Linked DNA regions of Caenorhabditis elegans. The protein of the gene in region 1 purifies or fractionates together with the protein of each later gene. This does not show direct contact. Each region holds a gene or a part of one and is shown in the gene's direction. Other genes may lie near its edges. The genes, in order: cope-1, mrpl-49, nduf-9 and tmed-10.

Evidence for each region.
Region 2: the proteins of cope-1 (region 1) and mrpl-49 fractionate together in Caenorhabditis elegans (co-fractionation; one large-scale study listed by BioGRID). This does not show direct contact.
Region 3: the proteins of cope-1 (region 1) and nduf-9 fractionate together in Caenorhabditis elegans (co-fractionation; one large-scale study listed by BioGRID). This does not show direct contact.
Region 4: the proteins of cope-1 (region 1) and tmed-10 fractionate together in Caenorhabditis elegans (co-fractionation; one large-scale study listed by BioGRID). This does not show direct contact.

What each region holds. Positions count from the first base shown.
Region 1 is NC_003281.10:13,424,550-13,430,085, forward strand, and holds cope-1 (Coatomer subunit epsilon), read left to right. Parts: upstream 1-1,714; 5' UTR 1,715-1,804; coding exon 1,805-1,879; intron 1,880-1,928; coding exon 1,929-2,027; intron 2,028-2,075; coding exon 2,076-2,252; intron 2,253-2,306; coding exon 2,307-2,633; intron 2,634-2,679; coding exon 2,680-2,763; intron 2,764-2,914; coding exon 2,915-3,031; 3' UTR 3,032-3,172; downstream 3,173-5,536. Other genes in the region: exo-1 (Exonuclease 1), read left to right, coding at 63-350, 404-499, 555-628, 679-760, 810-1,297, 1,359-1,551; Kunitz-type protein bli-5, read right to left, coding at 3,174-3,388, 3,835-4,026, 4,503-4,641, 5,102-5,164. UniProt on the Caenorhabditis elegans protein: The coatomer is a cytosolic protein complex that binds to dilysine motifs and reversibly associates with Golgi non-clathrin-coated vesicles, which further mediate biosynthetic protein transport from the ER, via the Golgi up to the trans Golgi network.
Region 2 is NC_003283.11:12,725,699-12,731,759, forward strand, and holds mrpl-49 (Large ribosomal subunit protein mL49), read left to right. Parts: upstream 1-2,932; coding exon 2,933-3,059; intron 3,060-3,103; coding exon 3,104-3,238; intron 3,239-3,279; coding exon 3,280-3,434; intron 3,435-3,483; coding exon 3,484-3,630; 3' UTR 3,631-3,719; downstream 3,720-6,061. Other genes in the region: nssp-67 (Neuropeptide-Like Protein), read right to left, coding at 211-228; R11D1.13 (DUF148 domain-containing protein), read left to right, coding at 1,514-1,651, 1,694-1,804, 1,847-1,885; rpl-28 (Large ribosomal subunit protein eL28), read right to left, coding at 1,983-2,161, 2,208-2,409; zfyv-19 (FYVE-type domain-containing protein), read left to right, coding at 3,823-3,882, 3,927-4,073, 4,131-4,307, 4,354-4,506, 4,902-5,170, 5,551-5,639, 5,736-6,025.
Region 3 is NC_003281.10:3,241,403-3,251,972, reverse strand, and holds nduf-9 (NADH dehydrogenase [ubiquinone] 1 alpha subcomplex subunit 9, mitochondrial), read left to right. Parts: upstream 1-3,397; 5' UTR 3,398-3,399; coding exon 3,400-3,560; intron 3,561-3,689; coding exon 3,690-3,900; intron 3,901-4,189; coding exon 4,190-4,245; intron 4,246-4,810; coding exon 4,811-5,153; intron 5,154-8,114; coding exon 8,115-8,269; intron 8,270-8,874; coding exon 8,875-8,992; intron 8,993-9,857; coding exon 9,858-10,109; 3' UTR 10,110-10,256; downstream 10,257-10,570. Other genes in the region: Y53G8AL.3 (CUB domain-containing protein), read left to right, coding at 1-15, 339-512; Y53G8AL.4 (Apple domain-containing protein), read left to right, coding at 1,435-1,456, 2,129-2,202, 2,421-2,606.
Region 4 is NC_003283.11:11,322,096-11,330,186, reverse strand, and holds tmed-10 (GOLD domain-containing protein), read left to right. Parts: upstream 1-3,222; 5' UTR 3,223-3,240; coding exon 3,241-3,345; intron 3,346-3,465; coding exon 3,466-3,528; intron 3,529-3,578; coding exon 3,579-3,903; intron 3,904-5,783; coding exon 5,784-5,905; 3' UTR 5,906-6,222; downstream 6,223-8,091. Other genes in the region: F47G9.6 (DUF1968 domain-containing protein), read right to left, coding at 1-27, 77-221, 304-567, 613-787; str-141 (Serpentine receptor class r-10), read left to right, coding at 6,367-6,546, 6,619-6,700, 6,796-6,874, 6,922-7,056, 7,151-7,292, 7,384-7,512, 7,561-7,738, 7,786-7,865.

The sequences.
Region 1 (5,536 bases):
GCTCAAGAACAAAAACATAAGCAAAAAGCTCAAATTGTTTATCGAAAAAAAATACTTTTCAGGCAGGTCTACCAGGCGTCGGGTTGAGCACAGCTGCCAAATTTTTCTCCATGACATCAATCAAGGATCTCAGAACTTTGCTCCGAAAAGTTCCATCATACCTGAAAAATCCTAAGCTCAAGGAGCACGTGAACGATGAATTCATTCGAAATTTCGAAAAGGCGGAAAATACATTCAAACATCAAATTGTATTTGATCCTAGAGAACGGTGCCAGAAGCCGTTGACACCGTACCCAAAAGAAGTTTTGATGACTGGAGTCGACGATCTGGAGGAGGTTATAGACTTGGATGTAGGCTCATCAAGCTTATCTAGTCACTAATATCGTTTAAATGTGAATTTCAGTCACCAAAGAAGACGGCTCCAAGCTCCAAAAGTTTCGCGTATGCAGGAACAGCTTCTACTCAGCGAATCGCTATTCGGTTAGCGCTAGGAAATCCGGTTAGCAATTCTTTAGGAGCATATAGTTTTATTACATAACTTGAACATTTTTCAGGAAAACAAGAGCTCAATCGACGATCAGTTTCTTCTAGTTCAGCCAACCCCGGAATGGAGTGTCTGGGGATTACGGTAGAAATATAACTTTGAAATAGTAGTGAATACTCTATTAAATAATTAAGATATGAAAGCAAAGGAAGCACACTAGACAAGATCAGCAAACAGAAAGAGTTAGAAGCTACGCAATGTGGTGGAGCTTTCAAGGTAAGAAGAATGAAAATCTCAAAATTTTGGACGATATAAAATTTTCCAGCTCGATTCGCCGTCTGTGAAGCGTGTCAAAGTTGCTTCGAAAACTACCCCAAACGATGACGAAGATGACATTGTGAAGCAATTCATGGCAGATATCGAAAAAGAAAAGAAGGCTATCAAAAAACGGAAAAATGCGCCTCAAGTGGACTATAATGCTGATGTTCTTCTCAAAAAGTATGCAGAACCACCACCGGAGAAGAGACAAAAGATTCTGGAAGTAATCGATGATGATTTCTCGGAATTTTTTCAAGAAAAAGTGAAAGAAAATACCAAGGAAAGTGTTGCCGAGGAAAAAGTTGAAAATAGCAACGAAGAGCTGAAGCCTCCTCCGATTCTTCGAAAAGCGGTTTCAACTCCTGATTCGGCAAGAAAAACTCACAAATTTCAATCGCCGCTTCTCAATCATCAAAATTCGGCTCCTCCGTCGTTGCCGGATAGAAAACCTGCACAAACTTCCAAGTATTTCTCTAAACCAACTTCAGAAAATGGGCGAGTTACAAAACAATCCGCTTGTGAATTAATAAAAATATAATCTAAATACTTTTTTCAGAGTTCCCAAAACGAAAAATCCATTCCGATGTCCTGCATTTGTCAAACCAACGCAAAAAGTTGAAGAAAAAATCGAGAAAACTACGATTCTCGCTGCATTGGAAGAGAACAGTGTTCCGATGCCTAGTTCAAATACCACATATCGATTTGTTGGCTTTAAATCCGCAGGACTCCGTAGAAAATCGAAGCAATAATTTTTTAAAAACTTATTTTCGTTATTATCATTTTATACCGGTTTTTTGTTACGTAAAATATTCGTTTTGTGCCTTTTTCCGAAAATAAATTATTTTCTTCTTTTATTGAAAGTCCGCAATATTACATTGCGCGTGAAGTATGGTGTTTTGTCCGCAAATATTTTGAAGTGACGTGGTGAATTTTTCACCGATTTAATCGAGCTTTTATTCTCGATTCTAAATATCTCCCCTTTTTCAATAGAGATTTCAAAAAATGGCTGACAAGTTGTTCTCGATTCGCAATTATTTCTTTCTCGGAAGTTATCAGTCTTGTATTGGAGAGGCTTTGGTGAGAAATCTTGTTTCCTTCGATTTCCTGGTTTATTTTAATATTTCAGAAGTTCTCATCGAAAAACGAAGAGGAAAAGCAGGAGAAGGATGTTTATTTGTACAGATCGTATATTGCACAAGGACAAGCTTTTATTCCATTGAAAGAGGTAGTTATTGATTAATGAGCAAGCCTGAACTCTTTTATTTATTTTAAGATCCCAGCCGCCACGAAGTCTGCTGATTTAGCTGCTGTTCGCAGGTACGCCGAATTCCGCAACAATCCAGCTGCCAAGAAGAAGATTCTGGCTGAAGTTCAAGAAGAAGTTGCCTCAAGAAACATTAAATCAGAAATCGCAGCTGTTCTTGCCGCTACTATTCTCAATGAAGCTGATGTGAGATATTTATACATTTAATGTTATTTTAAAATTACCAAGAATGAATTTCAGCTCTCCCAAGACGCATTCCGTGCAGTTTCCCGTTTCGAAGGTCTCGAGGCTCGTGCCTCCAAGGTGTTTATTCTCATTAAAATGAACAAGCGGAAGCTTGCAATTGGTGAAGTGAAGAAAATGAATCAAATCGACGAGGACGCTACTCTTTCTCAACTCGCAAATGCTCTCGTCACCTCGTTCGGTGCATCTGGAAAAGTAAAAGATGCTCTTTACATTTACAGCGAAATGTCTGATAAATACGGAAGAACTACTGATTTGGAGATGCATCAAGCTGTTGTTAGTATTTTGACTCAAGACTATGCTGCTGCAGAGGAGCTTTTGGAGGTGAGAGAATAGAAATTTAAGTTAATTAATAATTTTATATTTTCAGAGTGCTCTGGAAAGAGATAACAAAGATGCTGATGTGCTCATCAACTCAATCGTTTCCGCCCAGCTCAACGAAAAAGATGACGATGTTAGTTTCCTTCACTTTAAAACCTGAAAAAAGTGTAATTTTCCCAATTTAAAAAATGTTTAAACTCAATTTTTTTTAAGAAATTCAAAAATTTAAAGTTATTTTTTAATGATTCCAAAAATTTAACAATATTAAACTGAATATTTTTCAGGTCGTCGAACGTTTCATCTCTCAGCTGAAGCATGAGCATCCAAATCATCCATGGGTTATCGATTTCAATGAGAAGGAAGCCGAATTCGATAGAGTCGCCAGCGATTCCAGAGCCTAATTTCCATAATCTCTTATTTATTTTCTGAAATACGCCCTCTCTCAATGTGATTTCTTTGGTTTCTAATTATGCACGTCTATTGGTTGAAAAAATCGATGTAAAAATTATGAGAAAAATAAATTAAAGTGTGGAACCAAAAACCTCAGAAAAGATGAAAGTTGGACTGATGATAATTAGTAATTCCATTTATCGAACCGATACAGTAATCCTCACAATGTGCGCGAGTTTTGAAATTGTTTGCCGATGACGGCCTTTCGGGATTCCATTTGAATTCAATACATTGTTCACCATCGAATCCCCATCTAGACAGATATCCATCATCCGGATGATCGAATATTGGGTGGACGCATGTTTTGGCTGAAATTTTGATTTTAAAAAATTCTGAGATTTTTGCGATAAAAATATGGTCTCGACACGACAAACTTTTGTTAAATGCGAAAAGATGTGCGCCTTTAAGGAGTACTGTAGTTCCAAACTTCTGCTGTTGCGGACTTTTCATCGATTTTCTGATGATTTGTTAAATTTGTGAAATTTTACAGTACCCCTTGAAGGCGCAAACCTTACCCAATTTAAATTAATAAAAATTTGTCGTGTCGAGACCGTCTGCCGTATTTTTAACGGAAAGCATCTAAATTTTCATAATATTTCCTGCCTACAAGGCGGCCTACGCACACGAGCCTTGCTCTAATTTATTGAAATAAATACTGTGCACACACCAACCACGGGATACTATGTGAAAACATAGGCAGGCCCGCGTGAAAGGCAGAAAGTGTGCCTACCATGATCAAAAAGGGAATATATACCTCTATCAGGACAACAAACTCCATCCAATGCTCCAAGAATTGATAATCCCTGAATACATTCAAATCCTTCTGGACACGTATCTGGCTTCTTTTTACTCGAACATTTCACCGGTTCTCCATCTTTTCGGTACATTACTTGGTATCCAGCTCCTTCCGGAGTTGGACATGTCAATGGAGGACCCGAGTTGCCGGCTGAAGATATTATATATAGTTGATGGACTATATGAAACTGGTATATATTGGCTACTAATTTAATTTAATTTAATTTAATTTATTACGATAGTAAGATATCGTGAGGTAGAGAAAAAAAAGAACACACATTAATAGATACAAACCATCACAAGTGGTTACATAAATAAATTACATAAATAAAACGAAACAAAAATAAAAAAGAGATGAGAAGAAAATAATGGCTACATTGGAGAAGAAGCAAAAACACAAATATCGATGTATAAAAGGCAAGAATAAATGATGGATAGAAGTGAGGATAAGGTAACATTAGACTAGCGATTTTGCTATAAAATTTTTCTAGTTGCGAGTTTATTTTGAATATAAAATTAAAAACTCTAAATAAACGGAAATATTTGCTCTGCTAGTTCGCAAACTAGTTGCCAGAGTAAGGAAATCAGAAAATCTACTCAAAATTAAAGAATAATTTTCTAACTCACTTGCATCATTAGTTGCCAAACAAACCCATTCTCTTGATGCACTTTTCTTTCGAATTGTATTCTCAGAACAACGGCATCTTCCACGAACACATATTGCGTCTGGCCATTTCAAATCGCATTCTTCATTGGTCAGGCATTTCTGGAGTTATGTGGAATTAATAATATTAAACAGAAAACTTATTTAAAGTTTAAAGGTGGGCTAAACTGTCCAAATAATTTTTAAGCATTTTTGTATGCATTCAAAAAGTGCAGAAATTTTACAACTTGTCACCTGTAATAACTTTGGAAGTCGCTTTTTATAATTATGTTTGATTACCTAACGATGTAAAGCGATGCTCGAAATTTATCAAAACGCCTAATTTTTAAAAATGTTTTTGAAAATTAAAAAAAAATACACTAACTTAACATGGTGGATTATAAATAATTAGAAAAATTATTCACTGAAGATACTCCCACATTAGAGAATAAAAACGCATTCTACGATAATTATAACCAAGAGTGCAGCCACAAAAAATCCGAAATTAAAAATCCAAAAAAATATTTTCAAACATGAGGATGTTCGTCCTGCCCAGACGTAAAACGTGCCGTTTCAAACATACCTCACAAAAACAAATTGATATCATTAACATCAATAAGATGAATGAATTATGGATAGATACCATGGTTCTGAAACTAAACGCCTTTTAAAACCAAATGATCGATAAATGATACTGCAAAGGTGTTATTAAAAAGATGAAGTGAGACTTTATGTGAAAAGAAAAAGAGAAAAGTGATATGAATAGAAAGTGTAACAAACTGGATAAGGAAGTGAATGGAGGCAAAGGAAAAGCTGGTAGCAGAACGGAAATTTATTGGTTTGAAACTGACACGTTTTAAGTACATACATAATAAGCTTAAAAGGATCAAGAAAATCTTTTATCCCGGGAGTTTTGGACTCTGAAATTTCCATCTGATCTAATAAAAATTTATGAGTCTACCTTGAAACGATTGATGTATTATTCAATTATGTTCCAAAAAATGCTCTACCTGGTGTA
Region 2 (6,061 bases), on another chromosome or scaffold:
AAATTAACGAATGTTAGAGCTTTCATAGAATATAAAACGATAAATCATTTTAGAAATTTTAATTTTGTTTTGGAAGTCAATAAACGGATGTCTTAGAAACGAATTCTAGAAATGAAGAATATTTTTATTTATTTTCAGATAATTCGAATTTCCAATTTCAGAAAACTTGCTCAAAGATCTTTAATTTGATTTTTCAGTTGCAAAACTTACCAAATTGAAGAACTGCATATTGAGAATAATATTGATAGGCTGATCGCACAACACACAGAATTCTTATTGAGAACCAAAAGAGTAGAAATGAACGAGCACACACAAAAAGTCTTCATGTGCTCACGCCCCTCCCACCTTTTGCTCGAGCTCCGCCCTTCTTAGACTTTCATCATTTTCTGGAGGTTTTCGAGTTGAGAAAAAATTATCTGAAACCAAGGCAACGGGTTCATGGATATCGTATTATCTCTATTAATACTGCATTATGTTTTAATCTTATGCGCATGGGTCTCGGCACGCCGATAACGAGCTACTGTAACTCATGTCGGTTTCTTGCATAATTTTCGACTTTTCTCAATTTCAGACATATACGTAATAATAAAGCTTTTCACACAATTATGTTTGGAAGATTGTGTACTTTGTATTTTTTTTCCACTTCTACGATTTTAAAGGAGCGCATTTATGCGGAATGGTCTCGCCACGCGCTGCGAACGAATTCAAAAATTTGATGTGTGCACCTTTAAGGTTACTGTAGATTTTGCTCAAAAATCTCCATCGTTTTTTGTCGTTTTCTTCCTTCACTAATAAAGAAAGAATACATTTATTTCGTTTTTGAAACTATTATTATGAGTAATTTGAATACAAATAATACAGAAAATTGAGAAAGGAACTTGTAAAAACAAAGTATTGTATTGTATTGTATTGTATTTATTACGATTCAAATCGTGATCAAAAATAAATAAAAATAAATAGTGAATAGACATGAATAAGTTAAGGCCGAAACATCATAGAGAGATTGATAATAATCACAAAAATTGATAATAAACATACAGTATTGGAAGAAAACAAGAAAAATCGATGGATTTCAGTGCAAATTAATACAGTAATCTTAAAGGCAGATATTCAAAGCTTTTTAAATCAGTTCACCGCTCGTGTCGAGACCATTACTCTTTAAACTCTTCAAAATCGTAGAAGAGGAAAATAATGGAAAATAACTTCGTTCTTCCAAAAGCAAGTGAATGTGCTTTTCAAAATCTGAACATTTCTAAATACAAAGTTTTGGAAGTGTACTTTTTTACAACCATAATTATATTATAACAAACAGTAATTTTCAGTCAGACACCATTTTCATATTTCTCGATGCTGAAAAATTTGCAACAACTTAGGATAATCCCAAAGAACCGATCCAAATGAGAAAAAATACCATGCCCTATAACCGGTTTCAACTGAACCTAAAATGTCGTGATCGACCTTTCGTCGAATGCATGCCCATTCAACGTTGAGCCGATTTGAGTGCTATTTCAACATGAAATTTTTGATTCTGTCCTTTCTTCTCGTATCAATTTGCTCTGGAGGTGGTGGATTCCCGATTCAAATGTTGACAAAATGTGGAATTTCAAAAGAAACCATTGATGGCGTTCAAAGTGTAATCGACGAACATTCGGTATTTTTAAAACGACTTCTTAGATATTGAAAAATTTTTCAGGCAATGATTAAAATTGCTAACTCGAACAAGCGTGCCAAAAAAACCGAAATCGATTCTTTGAAGGCAGATATTGATTTATATTTAGATGAACATGCATCTGACGACGACAAGGTAGGATTTCTAATCTAAATTTTACATATTTATTTTTTCCAGAAAAGATGGATTGAGTGCTTCACAAAGAACAACTCCTAATTGTCTTGATTTTTCACTTTTTTTTTGAATAAAAAATTTTAACGTGTTGATAAGCTGTAACACTTTATATTCATAACAACAACGTAACAAACGTCATTTATGCGTCAGTCTTTTGGACCTTAGCCTTCTTCACTTGGGAGCGGACGATGGCGGCGGCACGACGTTGAGCGAGCTTGTTGAACTTGTTGAATCCGGCGTTCTTGGCCAAGCGACGGACTGAAGCAACTGGGGTCTTGCTCAAGGTGGAGGTGGTGACGGCCTTGGCTGGTCTTCCCTCTGAGAAAAAACAGTGTAAAAAATAAATTTTTAAAAAATCTCTTACTCTCGTTCTTGGTAGATACAACGACTCCCTTGGCGGCGGCGCTGACGTCGATGGCGTGCTTGTTAGCGAGTCCACTGTATTTTGGGCTGTTCACCTTCTTGAGGTTGAACTTCTCAGTGGAGAATCGCTTTCCGATTCCGCGCTGGGTTCTGAGGAAAGCGCTGTTGTTGCGGATGACTTGCCACACGAGAGCGTCGGACATTTTACCTGGAAATAAATTATTTTATGATGAAAGTTAAATACAATAAGATACAACGGGAAACGTAAGAAAAATTCAATAAAATCAATTGTACACGTAGGTTTTCAAGCAAATTTAAGAATACAATTTTACAAAGTCCTAAATGTCATTTTTCCTGCTCAAACTTTTGACTGAAATGCATAAAAATTCGCTGATAAAAACAAGCAGAATACGCCAAAATAGTTGCAAATTATAAAATTTACAGAATTAATACAAAAAATTCGATATTTTACTCAAAAAAATGGAAAAAAAGAAGAAAAATAAATTAAACTTTCGTTGAGCTGGCCTAAAATCTAATAGCAAGCGCGCTCCATTGCCAAACGGTGTAAACGCGGAGCCTCGTTTGCGTGTAGTTTTTATCGTAAATCGACACAACTTCTTTCAAAATAAATTATTTCTTATGAGTAATTTTCTGCATTCTATTGTTGTGTTTCAATTAATCTTATTTTTAATTTGATTTTATTCAAAATTATATAATTTTATTAAGATGCTGGGTTCTTCTCTCCGCATTTTCTCCCCTCGAGCAGTTTCCAGGTTGTCTTTTTCAACAACTTCAGTCGAAAAAGCTGAGAAACTTTGGGAAAATCCATGGAAACATGCTCTCCCTGAAAAGTGTAAGTTATTTATTATCATATAATTTTTCTACTAGCAATTACAGCCAGAAGTCTTGCAACGGTCGAAGAAGCTCCTATCGATTGGTCGTATGTGGAAAGATTGATGCCAATAGAAGTGGTGCCGAATGTTCCTGAGCACGAAAAGTATCCTACACCAAGCGGATGGACACCACCGACAGGTATATACAGATTAAATTCATACCGCATCGAAATATTTCAGAAGCAGCCAAGACACATCAATACTACATTCGACGTCGTCATGACCATCTTCTTCCTCTTTATTTGGAACGAAAAAGGGATTTACTGAATGAGAAAACGTTGGATTTTGATTATGTCGAGCTAGTAACTATCAGAAACGTCGACGGAGACATTTTTGTAAGTTGGGAACATTATTAAATCCTGAATCAACATAAATATCTTTCAGGCTTGCGAAAATGATCTCCGCTCCTATCTTGAAGAACATCTTGGACATTCGATCGCCAGTCACGTCGATGAGTTGAAAGGTCGTATCAAAATTAAAGGAGCTCCACGTGTTCTTATTGAGCAATTCTTCTACAGCAAAGGATTCTAGATGTATTCTTGATATATCTTTTAGTTTTTTATCTAGGCAGATTTGTTTTGTTGTGAATTTATTGTTGGAGAATGAACTAGAAAAATTCAATTGTCTACTTTATCATTTTTACCTTCAAACCGGTTATTTCACCGTCATTTCCTTATTCTCTTCATTTTGTATCATTGCGAAATGCCGAAATTCTTCTCTAGAATGCCTTCCTCAATTTGTTGCACAAACTGCAGAACTAAATATTCATTATTAAACAGAGAAGTTATTTTCTGGCATCAAAAACTAATTAATTTCTATTTTTTCAGGCCGGCTGCTCGAATTGTGCTCTCTCCTTCTGTAAGAAATGTCTGCCTCATCGTGCAATTATTCCCACACTTTCGGATTTACCAATGATTGTCTGTAACAATTGCTATCAAAAATTGGAATCTGCCAAAATGAAGCCCAGCGCGACTGTAAGAAAAAGAACAAAGTAAAAACTAAATAGATATTAATCCCACGATTTTTTTCAGATAACATCAACGCCTCTACCAGATAATTCGAATAAATCGAATAAAAATTGGTGGGGTGATGGACTTCCACCGCCATCATTCAGGAATTCGCACACAAATCAAAATCAGATTAAAAATAGTGAAGTCAAAGCAACTAAATTCAGGAATTCGCCAGAAATTCCATCGCAGCAGACCAAGGTAATTAGCGTCACGGAATTTTCTTAATTTATTTTTCAGTTTTCAGCCAAATTATCCGACCAATGACCTGGAACAGCGAAGACTTAAACTGCGAGAAGATATTTCACCACAAATTGAACCACTCAGTATATCAGAAATTGAAGAACGATTAGCAAAACTTCGAGAATGTGATGTAGAAGTGATACGTAATCCTCAAAGTGTAAGTTGGACAAGGATGTTTTTAATTAAAAATGTGTCTTAAATATAGAAAATTACTTGATTCATCTGAAAATATAATTTTTTCAGTTGAAAATTTAAAAAAAAGTGTTTAAAATGACCTTAAAGTTACAAATTGCAGATAATCAAATTAAAGAGCTCTGTTTTCGGCAATTAACAACTTTCAGACCGTTTTCGTGAATTTTCTCAAGCGTTTCAACTGAAATACATGTTATTTTCTTTCAAACAAAATAGTTTTCTATATTTTGACACTAATTTTTATTGTAAGATTTTAGAAAAACATTGGCCAGTAGGTCGTTTTGTAGAGTTTCCGAAAATAATTGCCGTCCACCTCAGAAGTTGATTTTTTACGCCTAAATACCATTTTTAACATTTCAGTGGCTAAAGTCTTCTTCCAAGGAACCTGCGATGAACGCCAATAATCCATCTGAATTAATGCGAGTAGCTGAAGATCGTGCAAGAATTGAAAAAAAAGAAGAGGAAATGGAACATAAAGACTGGGATGAGCTTGAAGCAAGACGTAGGAAAATATTTGAAGATGAAAAAGAAAAAAATAGAGAAGATGATGCTTCAATACGAGAATCAATGGTTTCTGCAAACACAGAGTTTAGTGAAGCAACGAAAGAAGAAATGAATGAGATTAATAAGTGAGTTGGTGAATTTTTTATTTGAAATTAAACTGAAATACAGTTTTTTTTGAGAATTACAATACTTTTCAATAAAATTCAGTCAGCAAGCTGTAGAACTGGGACCGAAAAATTCGAACCAAAAAAAATCAAACAAAATTTTTTTTGGATTCGAAAATTGGAACTTTTTACAAAAACTGAAAACCACAGTTTGCTAAAGAACATTTGTAAAATATGAAAAGTGTTTAAAATATAGAAAATTAGTTTTTTGGTGTTTTGTCACAAAAACCAAAAAAAAAAACAAATTTTCGTCGAAATATTACAAAAATAAACAAACCCCAAAAAAGTACTAACCCTGCTGTAGACTTTTAAAGTTTTACGCATATTCAATAGTATTCCAGTATTCTTCAAGACGCAGAACAACGTGTAGCTGAAACCAAGAAGCAAGAAGAACATGATGCCGCTGAACTCAGAACTCTCATGAAATCTAGTAAGTTTAAAACGAAAATTTGAATATTTCTTCAACACAGTCTTTTACAAACCTTTTTACTGCCAGCTTAATTTCTTAATTTTGCTACAATTTCAGCTCGTCAGAAGTCTCTTGACGCTATTCAATGGAATGATAAGATCACGAAAGAAATTGGTGGATTTTGGGATCGAAGAAACGAAAAATTATCTGTAGATGAAGATGAAGATGAAGACGAGAAGTCCTTAGACGAAGAGACTTTCAAAAAGATTCTTCACGAAGCCGAAAATTCAGAAGATCTGCCTCCTCAAACTTCGGAATCAAACAAGGCGTCAACACCGAGCAACTCGAGCTCACCGAAGAAAAAGGGATTATTTGAAAAGTTGTTCAGAAAAGATTCAAAACAATAGTAAATATTATTTATCTTTTTTCTATGTATGTTAAAT
Region 3 (10,570 bases), about 10 Mb from region 1:
TTTGATGGGACCTCGGTAAGAAAATAGCTGATAACTTTTTTGTGAGGAGAGATATCAGAAATTTGTAAACTAAAGAAATATAGCCCTTAAAATTTTCTACATTTTGTTAATTGAAAACTTTTTAATAGCTATTTTTTCCAAGGAGTTATGCGCTTTTAAACTAGACGCGCTCAGAAGGAGTAGCTCAAATTCTTATCATTAAAGGCGCATAACTCCGCGGAAATAATAGCTATCAAAAAGTTGTCAAATATAAAAATGTGTAAAATTTTAAGCACTACAAATTGTTAGTTGAACATTTTTGAAAATCAAGATTTTCCGCGGAGTTATGCTTATTCCAGAGAGCCGTCCTCCTAGACGCTGCCCTACAAAACTCGTGCTCCACCGACACATCTGACTGCCTGGATTTCAAGTATGAAGATGTGAACTCAATTTTCTTCACTATTTGCTGGGATTCCAAAAACTATTCGAATGGGCTTTATATTGAAACTTTGTTCGATCAAATATTATTGTAAAAAATCGCAAAAATCCATAATTGTGTTAATTATCAAATGTAAAATTCCATGCTCAACTTTTTTACAATTTAAAGTTTTTTGATATCTCCAACCGTTAATGAGATACGGGCGTTTGAACTTGGCGAAGAGAGAGAGAAAGAGAAGGGGGAGAGACGCAGACGACGAGAGCGCGCGCGCCGCCTGCGTCTCCCCTCCCCACACTCTCTCGTCACCGCTAACTTAAAACGCATGTATCGGGAGATAACTAGGTTCGAAGTCTGAATTTTGAGATTTTTGAGTTTTGTTTTAGGAAATTAGAATTTTATTGTAACAGGAAAGGATGTATTAACTGATTTTTCTGTGAGAAAAAAGTATAAAAAAGTTTGGAAAAAATTTTTAAAAATGTCCAAAAAAATTTTTTTTAGATAACTTATACCGTGAAATTTTTTCAAATTTCCACTATTTCCAATTACTCTTTTCAAAAATACCCTCTTAATCAATTTTTTCGCTCCTTCACGCCTTCAAGCCCCTATGACGTCACCAATCCCCAGTGAAAGGGGCCCATGCCTACCCCTGCTAAAAACTACAATATACCCCTAAAACCATCCCGTGAGTAATCAAAAATCGCGTCTAGCGCAAGCTTCCGGCTGAAAAATGCAAAAATCCCAAAAAAAACCGCCCAAAATCGTGCAAAATCTCAGAAAACTGGGCGGAAGAGGACACAAATTCGCCTCTTTGGAAGAGGAAATTACGTCGTATTGTATCGAATGACACCTCTCCCGCGCAACACGATATATATAGGGGACCTTTAAATGGAATAAGACCTATTTGCTAAATTTGGAAATTTGTTGGAAAAAAAAATTTTCTAAACAAAAAAATTTTTGTTTCGGAAATTTTTTTTCCAAAAGATTTTTCCGAAATTTTCTACTATTTTTCATCTAAAATGAACGGATTAAACCACTTATGTAAGTTATTGTTGGATTCAGGACCCACGTGGCCTAGAAACCCCATATTCGGGCTCAGTGGCCTAGAAAATCCAGAAAAGTTAGGCCACGCATGGTTTTTAGCAGAAAACCGTTTTTTTTTTCAATTATGTTTCGTAGAAAACATGCATAATTTCATGGATTCCCCAAATTTTTCTTAATTTTTCAGACATGGCTGAGAAAAAAAACCGGAAAAGTTAGGCCATGGGAAATTTTTCACAAAAAGTGAAATTTTTCCGTGAAGAATCTATTTTTTTCAGTTTTAGTATGAAAAATTTGAAAAATTTCGTTGCTTTTCAATAAAAAACTAATTTTCAGACGTGGCCTAGAAAAATAACCGGAAAAGTTAGGCCACGCAGCATTTTTCTAGAAAATTGCAAATTTTTCGAGAAACGCGTTATGTCTTCACTTTTAATTTTGAAAAACGTGCTTAATTTGCTTTTTAATCAAATTTTTTCAAATTTTAAGACGTGGCCAAGAAAAACCAGCTGAAAAAATAGGCCACGAAATTTTTCTTCGAAAAGCTCCATTTTTCCGCGATTTCGCCGCTGGAAATTAACTTTCGGCCAACGTTTCTGTGAAAATTATTTTTTAAAACTCTAAATATCTGCCAAAAAACCACTGTGGCCTAAACAATTCCATTGATTTTTCCAGTATTCTTCTTACTTATCGTCACGTTTGCCGGATTTTCATTTTCCCGCCCCGACCACCATTCGAGGAACTGCAAAGTAAGTGCGCTCTAGCGAACAACGAAGCTGCAAACGCGCTCCATTGAGAATTTTGCTTAAATGGTGGAAATCTCGGGGGTTTCTGGAGATATATCGATTTTTATTCGATATTTCGCTGAAAAAAATTGAAAAATTTGAGAAAAATCATTCAAAACCCTAGTTTTTCGCCGATTTTTTCCGCATTTTTTCAAGAATTCGGAATATTTTTTGATTTCCAGGCTTACCGACGACCGGCTCTAAACGAAGTGCTCACGAGAATATGCCTACTTTGCCATGAAATGTTTTCAGTCGACCAGCCGAATCTAGCCGCCGAGTGCAGCTCGAATTGCTTCAGGAATCCGGCGTTTAACAAGTGTCTCAACTTTTTTAGGCCGAAATTTTCTCCTTTTCTGGGTTCCACGTGATAAATAAATTGGTTTTAATCGTTAAATTTGAATTTTAATTGACTAAAATTGGTTAAATCGAGAAAAAAAAAGAAAAGAACCACAGTGCGGAGTCGAACCCCGGTGTGTTGCGTGAAAGGCAAAAGAGTTACCAGCAAAGCCACAAAGCAATGTGAACGTAATTTTGAGAGGCGTATACATTGTAGCCATAAATGCTTATTATCTCGATAGCGTATAATATTAATAATTGAGAATTTTGATGTCATTTTCAGTTTAATCTACCAGTATTCTTCTGTAATTTCGCACATTTTGAAGAAATCCCTTGAAAACTTCGCATTTCTATTTAATTCAAAGATTTTAATAATTTTTCTTGAATGTAAAACAAGAAAAGTAATATTTCATTAATTTTTCAACAATTTAGATTGAAAACTCTCTTTAAAACCGCCTTTCTCACCAATTTTTGCTAATTTCAAAGCTTCTCATTCCTCCTTGGAGTACGGTCATCAATCCCCGCCCTTCCAAGTGCGCATTCGAGTCCGCAAACGTCAAACCCGACGCCATATTGCGTACAGGCCAAATTATTTATTTCGGCACCGCGTACTTCATTTTCAGCCATTTTTAGCGGTTTTTCCAGATTTTTTCGCTATTTTCGGTGCTTTTTTGATAAAAAATCGATTTTTTCGACCGGAAAAGCTATTTTTAGCTGGAAAAAATCCCGAAAAAACGCAGAAAACCCATTTAATTCTTAAAAAGTCTTTAAAAATCTTTAAAAATCTTTAAACAATTGCAAATCTCGATTTTCCTAATTTCAGCCATGCTATCAGTGTTGGGTAGATCCGGCTTGGGCGCCCGGCAGGCGGTTTCGGTCGTTGGAAGTCAGAATTTCAGCAGCGCGGTCACCTCCGCCGAAAATGCTCATCCGGAGCCACGTGTCAGCTCTCAGAGTGCTCAATTCAGAAAGGGAGCCGGTGGAAGGTACAGGAAAAGCCTAAGAATGATTTGAAACTGGAAAATGTGGAAAAAATCTAGGAAAAATTGAAAAAACATTGAAAAAAAATCAATTTTTTCCCAAAAAAAATCGTTAAAAATTCCAAATTTTTGCAGAGCCTCCTTCTCCGGCAATGTGGTGACCGTATTCGGTGCGTCAGGCTTCTTGGGACTTCCAGTTGTCAATAAATTCGCGAAAAATGGCTCACAAATCATTATTCCGTATCGCCAGGATCCGTATTACATGAGAGAGCACAAAGTGCTCGGCGAGCTCGGACAAGTCCTCTATTTTCCATTTGAGCTGATGGATGAGGAGAGCATTCGAAAGGTATTAAAATTCGTGGAAATTGAGAGAAAAATCGAGTTTTCTAGGTGAAAATCGAGAAAAATTGGATTTTTCTCTAGAAAATCCAGAAAAAATAGAGTTTTCTCAGTGAAAATCGAGAAAAAATGGGTTTTTCTTTAGAAAATTCAGAAAAAATAGAGTTTTCTCAGTGAAAATCGAGAAAAATTAGGTTTTTTCTCTAGAAAATTCCGAAAAAAAAAGAGTTTTCTAGGTGAAAATCGAGAAAAATTGGATTTTTCTCTAGAAAATCCAGAAAAAATCAATTTTTCAGGCTGTAAAGTACTCGAACGTCGTCATCAACTTGATCGGAACTCGTGTGCCGACTGGGTGAGGAAATTGCAGATTTTTGAGCGGAAAAATTCACAAAATATGCCGGAAATTCAAAAAATTCAAATTTCGCGCCGTTTTTGACCAAATAAATCACTCTTTTTCGCTGAAAATTCGAAAAAATGCCTGAAAAACCTTCAAAATGTGGAATTTAACCCTTTTTTCCTACTGAAAATTCAAAAAATAAATTTTTTTACACCAAATTATCATTCAAAATTCAAAAAAAAAGCTCTTTTTTTCCAGTTTTTTCATTGAAAAACTCAAAATTCCTCACTTTTTCCAACTGAAAATCAATTAAAAATTGAAAAATCCCCTTAAATTTTGAATTTGGCTCCACTTTTTGGCTAAAAATTTGAAAAATGTCCGAAAAATCTTCAAAATTTTGAGTTTCGCGCCGTTTTTTTCACTGAAAATTCAAAAAATATTTTTAAAAAATTCAAAAAAAACTAAATTGCTCAATTTTTCTCCAAAATTTTCGAGAAAACTGCCATTTTCTATTGAAAAATTCAAATTTCCCCACTTTTTCCTTCTAAAAATCCCAATTTTAAGCCATTTTTCCTTGCAGAAAGTACAATTACTATGACGTCAACGACACGGGAGCCCGCCGTTTGGCTCGAATTTGCAAAGAAATGGGTGTGGAGAAATTTGTGCATTTGTCGGCTCTCGGAGCAACTACACAACCACAAAAGGGACATTTTGTCGCAAAATCGCAATTTCTTCATTCAAAAGGACTCGGAGAAGTTGCTGTACGTGAAGAATTCCCAGAAGCAACAATTATTCGCCCATCTGTGATCTACGGTGAATTGGATGGATTTATTCAATATTATGTGTCAAGATGGCGAAAAACTCCATTGGATTATGTGTATTTGTACAAGAAGGGAGAAGAAACGTATAAAATGCCGATTTGGGTACGGAATTGGCCGATAATTCATGAAAAATGACCTAAAATACGTGAAAATTGGCCGAAAATGACTGAAAATGGCTGAAATTTGGCACAAAATTAAATATTTTAACGAAAAACTCACAAAAACCGAGATTTTTTGAAAATTTACGATTTTCACATTAAAAATTGTCAAAAAAATTTTATTTTCCGTTAATATTGATTAAAATTATAGAAAAATCCATTTTCAACCGAATTTTGAACGAAATTAATCAAAATTTCATAAAATACATTTTAAAAAAAGCTCAAAATACGTGAAATTCGCCAAAAATGCTGAACAATTACTTAAAATTCAAAAAAATTGAAGTAATTTGACCAAAAAACTGAATTTTAGTCAATAAAAATTCAAAAATGGCTGAAAATTGTTTGAATATTGAAAATTGGGCGAAAATTCATGAAAAATGACCTAAAATACGTGAAAATCGGCCAAAAATGACGAAAAAAAATTTTTTTTTAAAGTAGAAAATTTCATGAAAATCGAGAAAAATGGTGTAATTTGACCTAATAACTGAATTTTAAAAATAAAAAGTCGAAAATCCGTGAAAATCGGTCTAAATCTACGAAATTTCATGAAAATTCGCTTGAAATTGAGAAAAATGACTCAAAATTCATTACAATAAATCCAAATGAACTGAAAAATGTCAAAATTCATAAAAATTGGCCTAATACAAATAAAATGAGTCCAAATATTTATGAAAAGTCTCGAAATTTCATATAAAGTTGCTCAAAATACGTGAAATTCGCTAAAAATTGCTGGAATTTATTTAATTTGCTTAAAAATTAGAAAAAAATTTCAAAATTCAAGGAAATTGGCATAAGTCCGTCTAAAAATTGAATTTTAAATTTAAAAAGTCAAAAATTCCAACAAATCGGCCAAAAATTACTGAAAATTGTTCAAAATATGACCAATTTTTGTTTGAAAATCGGAAAAATTACTCAAAATTCGAGAAACGCTGTAATTTGCGAAATTTTATGAAAAAAAAGCCTTAAAACCATTTAAATTGGCCAAAAATGACTGAAAATGGCTGAAATTTGGCACAAAATTGAAAATTTTCGGAATTTCACCCAAAATTTCATAAAATTTGATAAAACTAGTCGAAAATTGGTAGAATTTCGGCAAAAATCGTATTTTCACACAGAAAATTGTCAAAAAATTGCTAAAAATGACAAATTTTGACTGAAAAACTTGAATTTTTGCTTAAATTTCATCAAAATGTAAAAATCGGTAAAATTCCAGAAAAATTCACCGAAATTTGCAAATTTTGGCTTAAAATTGTCCATTTTTGCCGAAAAAAAATTGATGGTAGGCGGCGGTAGGCATAAAGTAGGCACAATTTTTTTTTTGCGAAAAAATGCAAAAAATGTCCAAATTTCGCATATTTTGACTCAAAACCTCGGCCAAAAATGGTGTAATTTGACCTAATAACTGAATTTTAAAAATAAAAAGTCGAAAATCCGTGAAAATCGGTCTAAATCTACGAAATTTCATGAAAATTCGCTTGAAATTGAAAAAAATGACTCAAAATTCATTACAATAAATCCAAATGAACTGAAAAATGTCAAAATTCATAAAAATTGGCTTTTAATACAATTAAAATGAGTCCAAATATTTATGAAAAGTCTCGAAATTTCATATAAAGTTGCTCAAAATATGTGAAATTCGCTAAAAATTGATGGAATTTATTTAATTTGCTTAAAAATTAGAGAAAAAAAATTTCAAAATTCAAGGAAATGAGGCTTAAAGTTACCTATAAACGCTGGAATTTGCGAAATTTTATGAAAAAAAGCTTTAAAACCATTTAAATTGTCCAAAAATGACTGAAAATGGCTGAAATTTGGCACAAAACTGAAAATTTTCGGAATTTCACCCAAAATTTGATAAAACTAGTCGAAAATTGGTAGAATTTTGGCAAAAATCGTTTTCTCCTCAAAAATGTAACAAAATTTTCGATTTTCACACAGAAAATTGTCAAAAAATTGCTAAAAATGACAAATTTTGACTGAAAATCTCGAATTTTTGCTTAAATTCCATCAAAAATGATGATTTTTTCAGAAAAATTCACCGAAATTTGCAAATTTTGGCTTAAAATTGTCCATTTCTGCCGAAAAAAAATTGATGGTAGGCATAAGTAGGCACCATTTTATTGCGAAAAATGACCAAATTTTGGATATTTTGACTCAAAACCTTGAATTTTTGCCAAAATTCAATTCATTTTTCGCACAATTTCAGTAAAAATAACTCAAAATTTACCATTTTTTGCCGAATTTTCAACGAAATTGATCAAAATTTCGAGAAAATCGGCGAAAAATCACTAAAAAAATCTCGATTTTCTTGCAGGTTGCTTTTTTAGTTTTTAGTTTTAGTTTAAAAAAGAAAAATCGGCCAAAAATGAGTGAAAATTGTTCAAAATAGGCCCAATTTGTTTGAAAATTCAAAAAATTACTCGAAATACATACAATTCGGCCTAAAACTGCCTATAAACGGTGGAATTTGCGAAAATAAGCGAAATAAAAAAAAAAGCTTTAAAAACGTTTAAATTGGCCAAAAATGACAAAAAATGGCTGAAATTTGGTCCAAAATTGAAAATTTTGAAGAAAATTGACGATTTTTGACGAAAAACATACAAAAAATCGTTTAAAAATGTTATCAATTCCAATTTTCGGTAATTTCCCATATTCACTTGAAAAAAATTGTTGAAACATTGCTAAAAATGGCAAGTATATATATTGAATTTTTTGGTTAAATTCCATTAAAAAACGGTATTTTCGCGCGAAATTTCATTAAAAGGAGTGAAAATCCGTAAAATTTCAAAAAAAATTCACAGAAATTTGCAAATTTTGGCTCAAAATTTACCATTTTTTGCCGAGTTTTCAACGAAATTGATCAAAATTTCGAGAAAATTGGCGAAAAATTCCGATTTTCTTGCAGGTTGGAGACGTTGCCGCCGGAATTCAAAGTGCTGTAAATGATCCAACAGCAAAAGGACATACTTATGAATTTGTTGGACCACACTGCTATCAATTGTCTGAATTGATTGATTTCATGTACAAAAAAGCGCATTGTTTGTCTGATTTTGGATTCAGGTACCCGGTTTTTCGATTTTCCCGCCGAAAATTGGCCTAAAATGAAGGAAAATTGCTAATTTTTGGGCAAAAAAATCATGAAAATTGATAATTTTTAACGAGAAATTCATGAAAATTGGACTTAAAAATCGTGAAAACTGGGTCTCGCCACGAAAACTTTATTTTTTTCAAATTTAAAGGCACATGGGTTGTGCATCAATCAGGAAATTTTGAAAATTCGAATTCTCCTCAAAATTCTAGGCTTGTAGCTTTAATCGGGTCTCGCAACGAAAATTTCACGAGTACAGTAACCCGCGAGATATTATTCCGTGGCGAGACCTTAAAAAATCAAAAAAATCAATATTTTCACTGAAAATTGATGATTTTTAACGTGAACTTTATGAAAATTGGCTAAAAAATATAAATTTAGACGTAAAAATCGTGAAAACTACATTTTTTTTTGGGTCTCGCCACGAAAAAGTTGAAAAAAAAAAATTTCTTGAGTACAGTAACCCGCGAGGTATTGTTTCGTGGCGGCGGGACCCAGGCGTGAAATTTCGAGAAAAATCGCGAATTTTTCAATTATTTTCGTGGCGGGACCCGAGAAAAAGCTCAAATTTTTGCAGATACAAGCGTCACGGAATGCCGGATCCATATTTCATGGCTCTCACAATGGCCACCGAACTCTATGGTAAAGTGTTCAAGTGTAAAGTTCCACTCAACAGAGAATGGATGGAGTTTGTGGTAGGTTTTAGGGCTTAAAATGAGCAAAAACGCCTCAAATTTTAGATTTTTTTAATTAAAAATCGGTTTTCCGCCAAAAATCGGGCAATTTTTACGGAAAAATCCATTTTTTAAGTGAAAAACACTTAAAAAAAACTGATTTTTGAGTCAAAAAATTGGAAATTTCGGAAAGCCTACCTACGCCTGCCTTGTGCCTACCGTTGAATTGTTAAATCAGGTAGGCGTAGGCACAATTTTGAGGAATTTTTTTTGTAGAAGTGGCGGAAACAACCCGATTTTCATCAAAAAAATTCGAAAAAAATCGAAAATTTTTTCAAAATTATCGATTTTTAGTCGAAAAATGGATTTTATTGATTTTTTTTTTTGAAAAAAAAATTTAGCGAATAAAATCGATAATTTACGGAAATTATCGATTTTTTGTTGATTTTCAAAAAATCGATAAATTCCGATTTTCCGACAAAAATTCAAAATTTTCTGAAAATTATCGATTTTTTTTGCTATTTTTGTAATTTTCAGATAAAAATCGGAATTTTTTTAAAAGAAAAATCGAATATAAAATCTTAAAAAAATAAAAAAAATTTAATATTTTTAAAAATTACCGATTTTTTGTCGGAAAAGTGATTTTATCGATTTTTTGTTGAAAAATTTCCGCGGAATTTTTTTTGAAACAAAGATTTCTGAAAATTATTGATTTTTTTTTCTATTTTTCGCATTTTTCAATTGAAAATCGGAATTGTTGAAAAAAAATCGCATAGAAAAATTTCCACCGATAATTTTTGAAAATTATCGATTTTTGATTAAAAAATTCGCGAAAAAATCGATAATTTACGGAAATTATTGATTTTTTCTAATTTTGCATTTTCAGGAAGTACAATCGGACATTTTGACGGGCGAAAGAACTCTCGCCGACCTCGGAGTCCGCCGATTGACTGAATTCGAATTGGCTGGTGGACAACAAGCATTTTATCGATCATTTAATCGATATTTCGAAGAACAATATGGAGAACTTCCGGCTCCATCACTTCCACTTCGTTCACCACCACTTACCAAAAAGAACACTGGCCGAGGAGCAACTGGAATCAAGTCGGAAACGAGCAAAAATGTCGCTTTTAATTAAGATTTTTTTTAATCGATTGTTTTTTCGATTTCTGTGTTGTCTTTGGTAGTTTAAATAGAGCGATTTTAATTTTTTTTTGGTTCTAAATTTTTTTTCTAGAAAAAACTGAATTTTGTATTTATACGCGTAAATGAATCGAGAATTTTGATGGGAAAAATTGGTAGATTTGCAAAAATTCTGAAAAAAAATTATAAGAATCCTGAGAAATTATGAAAAATAAGAAAAAAGAGCACAAAAAATCAGTAAAATCAAATTTCCTTTAAAAAATCGATAATTTTCAAAAATTATCGATTTTTGTCCGAAAATGAACGAAAAATCGATAATTTTTGGTAATTATTGACTTTTTTCGGAAAAATAAACTAAATCAGATTTTAATTTGGGCTGTTCCGAAAATTAGCAAAACAAATCAATAATTCCTTTTTTTTCCGACAAAAAATGGATTTCTTTTCGAAAATTATCGA
Region 4 (8,091 bases), on another chromosome or scaffold:
TCATCTTCTACTTCTGTTTCAATTAGACTGTAATGCATTAATGGTTGGCTTATATAGAATTTAGCTGAAAACTCACGAGTAGATAGGTAAATTTGTAGGGATTGATATAGGCTCAAATGCGTAACCAAGAGTTCTTACAAATTTGTAGTGGATGCTCATATGATCTCGATACTGACAGCCGTAATATTGAGCTGGGAAATAGTTATTGGTGTAAGCAAATACTGAAAAAAAAAGTTATTTAACTCAAAATTAAGTTTTCAGGTTAGTATAACAAATCATTGCTTTATGAGAATGAGTTCTTACAATTGTCTTCTTCGGAAAAATATTCATTGTATTTATGCAATCCCACCATCCACTCTGTTGATAAGTAACCCGATTTCGCCACAAGTTTATCAGTTGAAGCTGGAGAGATCTCGAACTTAGATCTCCCTTCCCGATCTATTACGTGATACACAGCTCTGACCTTTTGGGGAAAGTTTTGGCACGAGTCAACACTACAGTTAAGATCTTTTAGAAACATTTCCATTGTGAATCCACGAACTGCGTTGAAAGATTGAGAGTTGAAGTCTTAATTATTTTTAGATATAAATATGAAGGGATATTACAAAATACCAATATTATTTAGAACATCCGATTGGGAAAGTTTGATGAAAAATACTGACTTCATGGGTGACGCATTTGTATCAGCGAATCGAAAGATCGGTTCAAGGACAATTTGTTGAATGACTCTCTTTGATTCAACATTGAAAAGAGCATAATTAAAAATTAGAAAAATGAGAAGCCTCATAATTTGTATTATAGGATCCGGTAAACTACCAAATCACAGAACAAAACACCTACAGTAAACTCGTGGCATTGTTATCATGTTAATGAACTGTTAATGCATATTCATCACATCTCATTTACAAAAGAAAGATAACAGGAAGTTAGAAAATTACATGGAATAAAAATATGAACACTTTGTTGAATGAGGGGTTGAAGAGGACGCTTTCAGCAATTTATGCACCGCAAATTTTTCGTATTCTTATCAACTTCGCAATTAATTTTCCATGTTGTGTGTTTTATTTTAGTTGTTTTAATCAATCAATATATTTTTTTCGAAAAACTATGGAAGATCTAATAATATTCCAGCACTATGAAAGTTTGAAACTACAGTATTCTTTAAAGGCGCACATCTTCCCGTATTGAATAAATAATTTTTGTTGAGACCGGTACCGTATTTTTGGCTTAAAAATAGCACAATTTTGCATGTGAGATATTAAGATACGTGCAAAGTTCATTTGCATTCATAAGAAATAGGTTTTGTCTTTTCTTGAAAGCAAACATGTCTTTAAATATTATTTTCCACAGCGCCTCAGATCGGGAGAGAAGAGCTAAAGAAGTGGTTTTGGCGCGGGAGCGCGTTTGCTGCAGACGTCGCACGAATTGGAATTAATGTGTAACAAAACAGTAAAATATCGCGTTTTTGCTGGATTTTAGGGATTTTAAAGCAATTTTCAACATGCGGGACCGCCCAGAGACTGTTCGCGATGCGATTTACTTCATTTTAATATAAATTTTCCCCCAAATAAGCTCGAAATGAGCTCTGAATTTCGGCGGATCTGAAAATTTTTTTTGACCAAAAACAGAATTTTGCAAATAAAAATTGATTTTAGAGCAATTTATTGCATAAATATTCAATTTTAGAATTTTTACTAATAGTTTGAATCTTTTTAAAGTGTTTTAGTCATTAATTTGACTGATAACACAGAAAATGATTTTTCTTTACAACGAAATCGATAAAAAAGTAAAGCAACATTTATCAAGGGAAATCTTGCAAAATTGGTTAAAAAACTTGTATGAAATCAAAGATTTCACTAGAATAAAGCTACAAATCAATCAAAATCACTAAAAGTACAAATAGTTCTGATCAAATTTCAATGTTCCAATCTACCAATGGATCTATGCCACGCCAAATTTCTTATGCAAGTGTTGCTCTCCAATTTTCCTTAAAAAATGGATCAAATACTCACATAAATGATCAAATTAACATTTTTTACAAGTTTCGTGTTATATTTTCTTTTTCTTAATAAGGAACCATCAGGTTCTTCCTGCCCTCTACGGCTCTAGATACCTCAACTTCGACAACTCCTATCTACTCGGAGAGGTGAGAGAACTTGTAGAGCACATCAAAAACTATGATATTCAATTTAACCTGCGTTTTTATCTTTCAAGATGGGGGAGTTAGACGTACATTTGTATTGCATGCTTTTTGTTATTCTACTGGCTGCTCTAACTCCCTCATCTTAAGAGATAAACACATGATTTTAACTAATTAGTATAGTTTCTACAATTTCCTAGTTAATCACTTTTTGATATCTTGCATCTCTGAGGAGATAGGAGTTGTCGAAGATACAGTATCTATAGCTATGCGCATATGAAGAATCTAATGGATTCTCATCATGCTATACTACTTATCATCTGCTTTTTGTGGGAAACAATGATTCAAAAATGTTTTTTCAAATGATCAAACAAGTTGTGATTTGATCTGAACATTTAGTGTTGGTTTAGTGAAGATCAGCTGCCAACTAAACAGTTTCCGTTGATGTGGGCATTTTTGAACAATTTCAAGACGTGAAACCGTGTTATCTCTATCAAGCTGACGTTTAAAAATTGGAATCAAACATATTAATGCTTGAAAAAATTTGTTTCGCGTAGAAATTTTGTCATAAAGTTAACTTGTTCTAGTCGGTTCGAAAATCAATGAAAAAGCAGCCAAATCGTGAATTTGTTGAATAAAATGTTTTTTAAAACTTTTTTAAAGCAATAATAATCCCAATATTTAATTATTTTTTCCAAATTTCATCTTGAAAACTCGAATAATCGCGAAATTTCGTCTGAAACTCATTTAATACCGTAAAAGTGTGCAAACGCGCTCCGTTGGACTTTCCTATTCTCGATTTTCTTAACTCTCCCGATTTGAGGCGCTGTGTTTTCCTGTTAAAATGCGTTTGTCAACGTTGACAACTCAACTACGGTTGCCAATGCGTGTTTGCGTACACACTCGATCCCACGCGCAACTGCATACGCCGCGTTGGTTTTAATTCCATCTTTTTTAAATTTATTTTCGGCGTTTGTATTGATTTTTGCTGTGTATTCCTTTAACATGAACTGATTTTTGTCCATGATAACTTTTGAACAACTTAATATTCATTATCGCATTTTTCTTACATTTATTTCCAGGTAATCATCCGAACAATTATGAAATCTCTAGTTATCTTTCTGTCAGCTATCGTTCTTGCCCATTCTCTGAGGTTCTACGTGCCACCAAAAGAGAAAAAGTGTCTGAAAGAGGAAATTCACAAGGTAAATACTTTTACAACTCCTTGTTACCATAGCAGTAAAGATGTCAAACATACTTTTTTTCGTTAAAAATTGATATATTTAATAAACATCAGAATTTATGTCTAATAAAACCTCTTGCAGAATGTGGTCGTAACAGGAGAATATGAGTTCAGTCAAGGAATTCAATACACTGGAAGTATTCACGTGAGTAAAAATAGTTTCAAAATTACTTCAAATTTTTAATTTATTTTCAGGTCACCGACACCAGAGGCCACACTCTCTACAAACGTGAAAACTTTGCTGATCTAAAAGGAAAATTCGCGTTCACTGCTGACGAATACGACATCTTTGAGATTTGCATTGAGAATCATCCACCAGCTGGGCATCCTGGAGAGAAGCGCGAGGTTTCTCTTATTTTGAAGCACGGAGTCGAAGCCAAGAATTATGATGATATTGCCAAAGCCGAGAAGCTGAAGCCACTCGAGGTTGAACTTAGAAGATTGGAGGATATGGCTGATTCAATCACCAAAGATTTCGCATTCATGCGCCAAAGAGAGGAAGAAATGAGAAATACGAACGGTAAGTGTTTAAAAAATCATTTGAATCATATAAAAGGTTCGTAATTATTTTAATTTAAAAATAATGCATTGCCGATTATCCAAGTACAGTGCTCCACATAATGATACGGCCACCCCCAAATTTTGGTATAACTCAAAACTGGGTTGAGATAGCAAAACATAATTTCTTGTGAAAATGTCCGCTGTACTGGCTAACTTTCAGATAAGTATTGGAAATATACATGAACCGTTCGTAAAAAAAGATAAACCATTTTTTCATGAAAATCCATATAAAAAAATCCACAAAATGATACGGCCACCCTTGGTTATTGTTTTCTTTTTTCGTTTTCTTTGCAATTTTTTTTGCTAAACGTTAGGTTTCATGTTCGTTTGTGTTTTTACAGCTATGTGTCGTGGAATAACTTTAACTGACTACGGAAAAAGACAAATTGTGCAAAATTATCTCAAGGCTTTTCGGATCGTCAGATTTCTCGTGATTTGAAACGTTCGAGAGATATGATCATTCGATATGCTTCAAATCCTGCCGCTCATTGCACCAAACAGTCTTCTGGTCGCCCACCACTTCTTTCTGGTAGAGACAAGCGAAAAATCGTTCGTCGAGCATCAAATTGAACAGTGACTTTCTCAAAAATTAGGCGCGAGATGAACCTGCCAGTGTCTGTTGAGACTGCACGACGTGTTCTTTCGAATTCCCAGTTTATCAAAAGACGAAAATTGAGAAAGGCTCCTTTCATTACCGAAAAAACCGCTAAAATCGTATTCAGTTAGCTAAAATCAGCCAGAGAACTAACTGGAGACAAGTGAAGATTACCGTATGATCATTCAAGCCCAATTTTGGTTTTAGTTCATCTTTTCTTCTCTCAAATCGTACCAGTAATCACGGTAGCCTTCTGGTTCATCACAGTTAAACTTTTCCTCGTCACTGAAGATGATCTGAGACCAATACATGAGCTTGAATGATCATACCGTAATCCTCACTTGTCTCCAGTTAGTTCTCTGGCTGATTTTAGCAAACTGAATACGACTTTGGCAGTGTTTTTCGGTAATGAAAGGAGCCTTTCCTAATTTTCGTCTTTTGATAAACTGAGACTTCGAAATAACACGTCGTGCAGTCTCAACAGACACTGGCAGGTTCATCTCGCGCCTAATTTTTGAGCAAGTCACTGTTCAATTGGATGCTAGACGAACGATTTTTCGCTTGTCTCTACCAGAAAGAAGTGGTGGGCGACCAGAAGACTTTTTGGTGCAATAAGTGGCAGGATTTGAAGCAAATCGAGTGATCATATCTCTTGAACGTTTCAAATCACGAAAAATCTGACGATCCGAAAAGCCTTGAGATAATTTTGCACAATTCGTCTTTTTCCGTAGTCAGTTAAAGTTATTCCACGACACATAGCTGTAAAAACACAAACGAACATAAAACCTAACGTTTAGCAAAAAAAAATTGCAAAGAAAACGAAAAAAGAAAACAAAAACCAAGGGTGGCCGTATCATTTTGTGGATTTTTTTATATGGATTTTCATGAAAAAATGGTTTATCTTTTTTTACGAACGGTTCATGTATATTTCCAATACTTATCTGAAAGTTAGCCAGTACAGCGGACATTTTCACAAGAAATTATGTTTTGCTATCTCAACCCAGTTTTGAGTTATACCAAAATTTGGGGGTGGCCGTATCATTATGTGGAGCACTGTATTAAGCTTTTATTATCATTGTTAATTAAATAGATTTGTAAGGCTACAACATATCGTTTCGAGACGCAATTCATTCTCTTCACGGAGCAGGATATTGTGATCCCTGGAAATTGTTTACCACTTTACTTGAGCAAACTCTAATTATTCGATTCATCGACAACCATCTATTTTTTACTTTTTTTTACAGAATCGACAAACAGCCGAGTTCTTTACCTGTCCATCTTTTCAATGCTGTGCCTTCTTGGTCTTGCCATTTGGCAAGTTCTTTTCCTCCGTAATTACTTCAAGTCGAAAAAGCTTATCGACTAGATTTCCCCAACCCTTAATTTATGATTAATTTATCAATTTTTTTTTCGGTTCTCCTCAACTTCTTGCTTTTCCCCCAACATCTCTTTTGTCCACACACCCAAACGTTTCATGTGATTTCTAATTGGTTCCCACATCTTTTTTACTAGATAATGATGATAATGAGTATTTTATTTTGTTGGATTTTAGTTGTTTCCTCCCCCGTTAATCTGCACAAGTATCAACAAAGGGTAAAATGTATAGTGTGTAATGTTTCCGTCTTATTTTTCTGTTTTCATCATTGCCGTTTTTTAAAATCATTATTATGAACTTTTAAATTGAAACATTGAAACATCAATTGGTAATTTACTCACCATATGGTGATTTAGTAAAGTACATAAGATCACTTTTCAAGAAGTCTTTTTCAGACGTCATCCTTTCAGAAATAACTTCAGACTTCATTCTCCACCAGTTCACTTACAACAATGATCGGTCTACATATTTTCCACTACGCCGGCTTTTTCGGAGCACAAATCTTCAATACTGTTCTGGCAATATTAATTGTGAAAAGAGCTGGAAAACTGTTTGGTAGTTACCGTCATGTTATGTTTGTATTCACATTTTGTTCGATGTTGTACTCTGCAGTAGAGATAATTGCACAGCCGGTACGATACAATAGAAAATTGGAACTTGAAATTGAAATTTTGAGAATGTTACTTCAAATAATCGTCTTTCAGGTACTATACATGAAAGGTCCAATGTTTGTCGTGTTTCTTGATAATAACGTTTTTTCTCAAGGCATTGGAAATGTAGTTGCTTGTTAGTTTTAAACATTTTACTTTTCATAGAACTCTTAAACAAAAAATGAATTTCCCTCTTTTTTTGGTTATTGAAGTGAAAACAACAATTTACAGGTCTTCATTGTGGTACCTTTGGATTTTTGATTTCTGTATTTGCGGCACAGTTTTTCTACAGATACATTGCATTGTGCAGGTTTTCTTGAATAGATTCAACAAATTTCTGATTGAAACTCTTTTCAGACAAAGTCTGTTATCTTATTTCGATGGATATAAAATATTTTTGATCTTCATTCCATGCGTAATTACATACATTCTCTGGTTTGAACTTGTCGTTTGGGGAATGTCTGCGACTATGGAAAAACGAATCTATTTGAAGTTAGTGATAATTTCAGCGTCCATGAGTAGTTCAGTAGCTTTTTGAAAACGTGGCCTCTAGACGTGATGAATCAGTTCTGACACCTAATTTCAGAGATGATTTTAAAAATATGTATGAATCAGATTCAATGATGATATCTTTTATTGCTCCGTTGTACTGGAACAATGGACCAAATAGAGAGAAAGTTTGGAGATTTAAAGATGCAGCCTCTGCACTAGTCTGTACTGGAATTATTGTAAGTTGCCATACCAGTTTTGCCAGAACACAACTCATACATCTGCTCTGTGCCTTTGTATAAATAGAAATATCAAGTAACAAACATTTAGGGATCATTAACAACTTTAATTTGCTTCTTCGCGTTACGAATTTATCTAAAAATGCAAAAAGAAAAAGGTCATATGAGTAAAAGAACTCTGGAATTGAACAGGCAGCTTTATATAATGTTATCAATCCAGGTATGTTTTCTAGATGATAACATATATTTTAAATATTGAAATGTTAAGACTATTGTCCCATTTATAACAATGTACATCCCAGTGGGTCTTTTCATTGTTCTCCCATTTTTTGATATGGGATTAGGTGCGTATGTGAATTATCCCAGTGCCAGTATGTCTTTGTATCCTGCAATTGAACCATTAATTGCAATTTATTGTATAAAAGACTTCAGAAAGACTATAGCTAGTAAGTTTAATAAGTATTCTTATCGTGAGAATTATCACAAATTTCAGATTTCTTCCGGAGAGTTCGTGTTGGTCCAAATGGCATAAGTGTGTACAGTACTAGTGGAACACAGATGGCAATCAAATAAACAATCATATTTTAAGTATAACGTTTCCTACTATTTTTGCATGCTCTACTTTTTTTTAAAAATAAAGTTCATATGACTATATACATATATGAATATTTTCATTCTGGTTCTTTGAAAATATGATAATACTTGATCTCAATAGACTTTAAGGATCGATCTAATAAAAATGTTACTTGGAATACAACTTACTAACTTGTAAAAAACATTGGCTTCAAGTTTTCTGAAA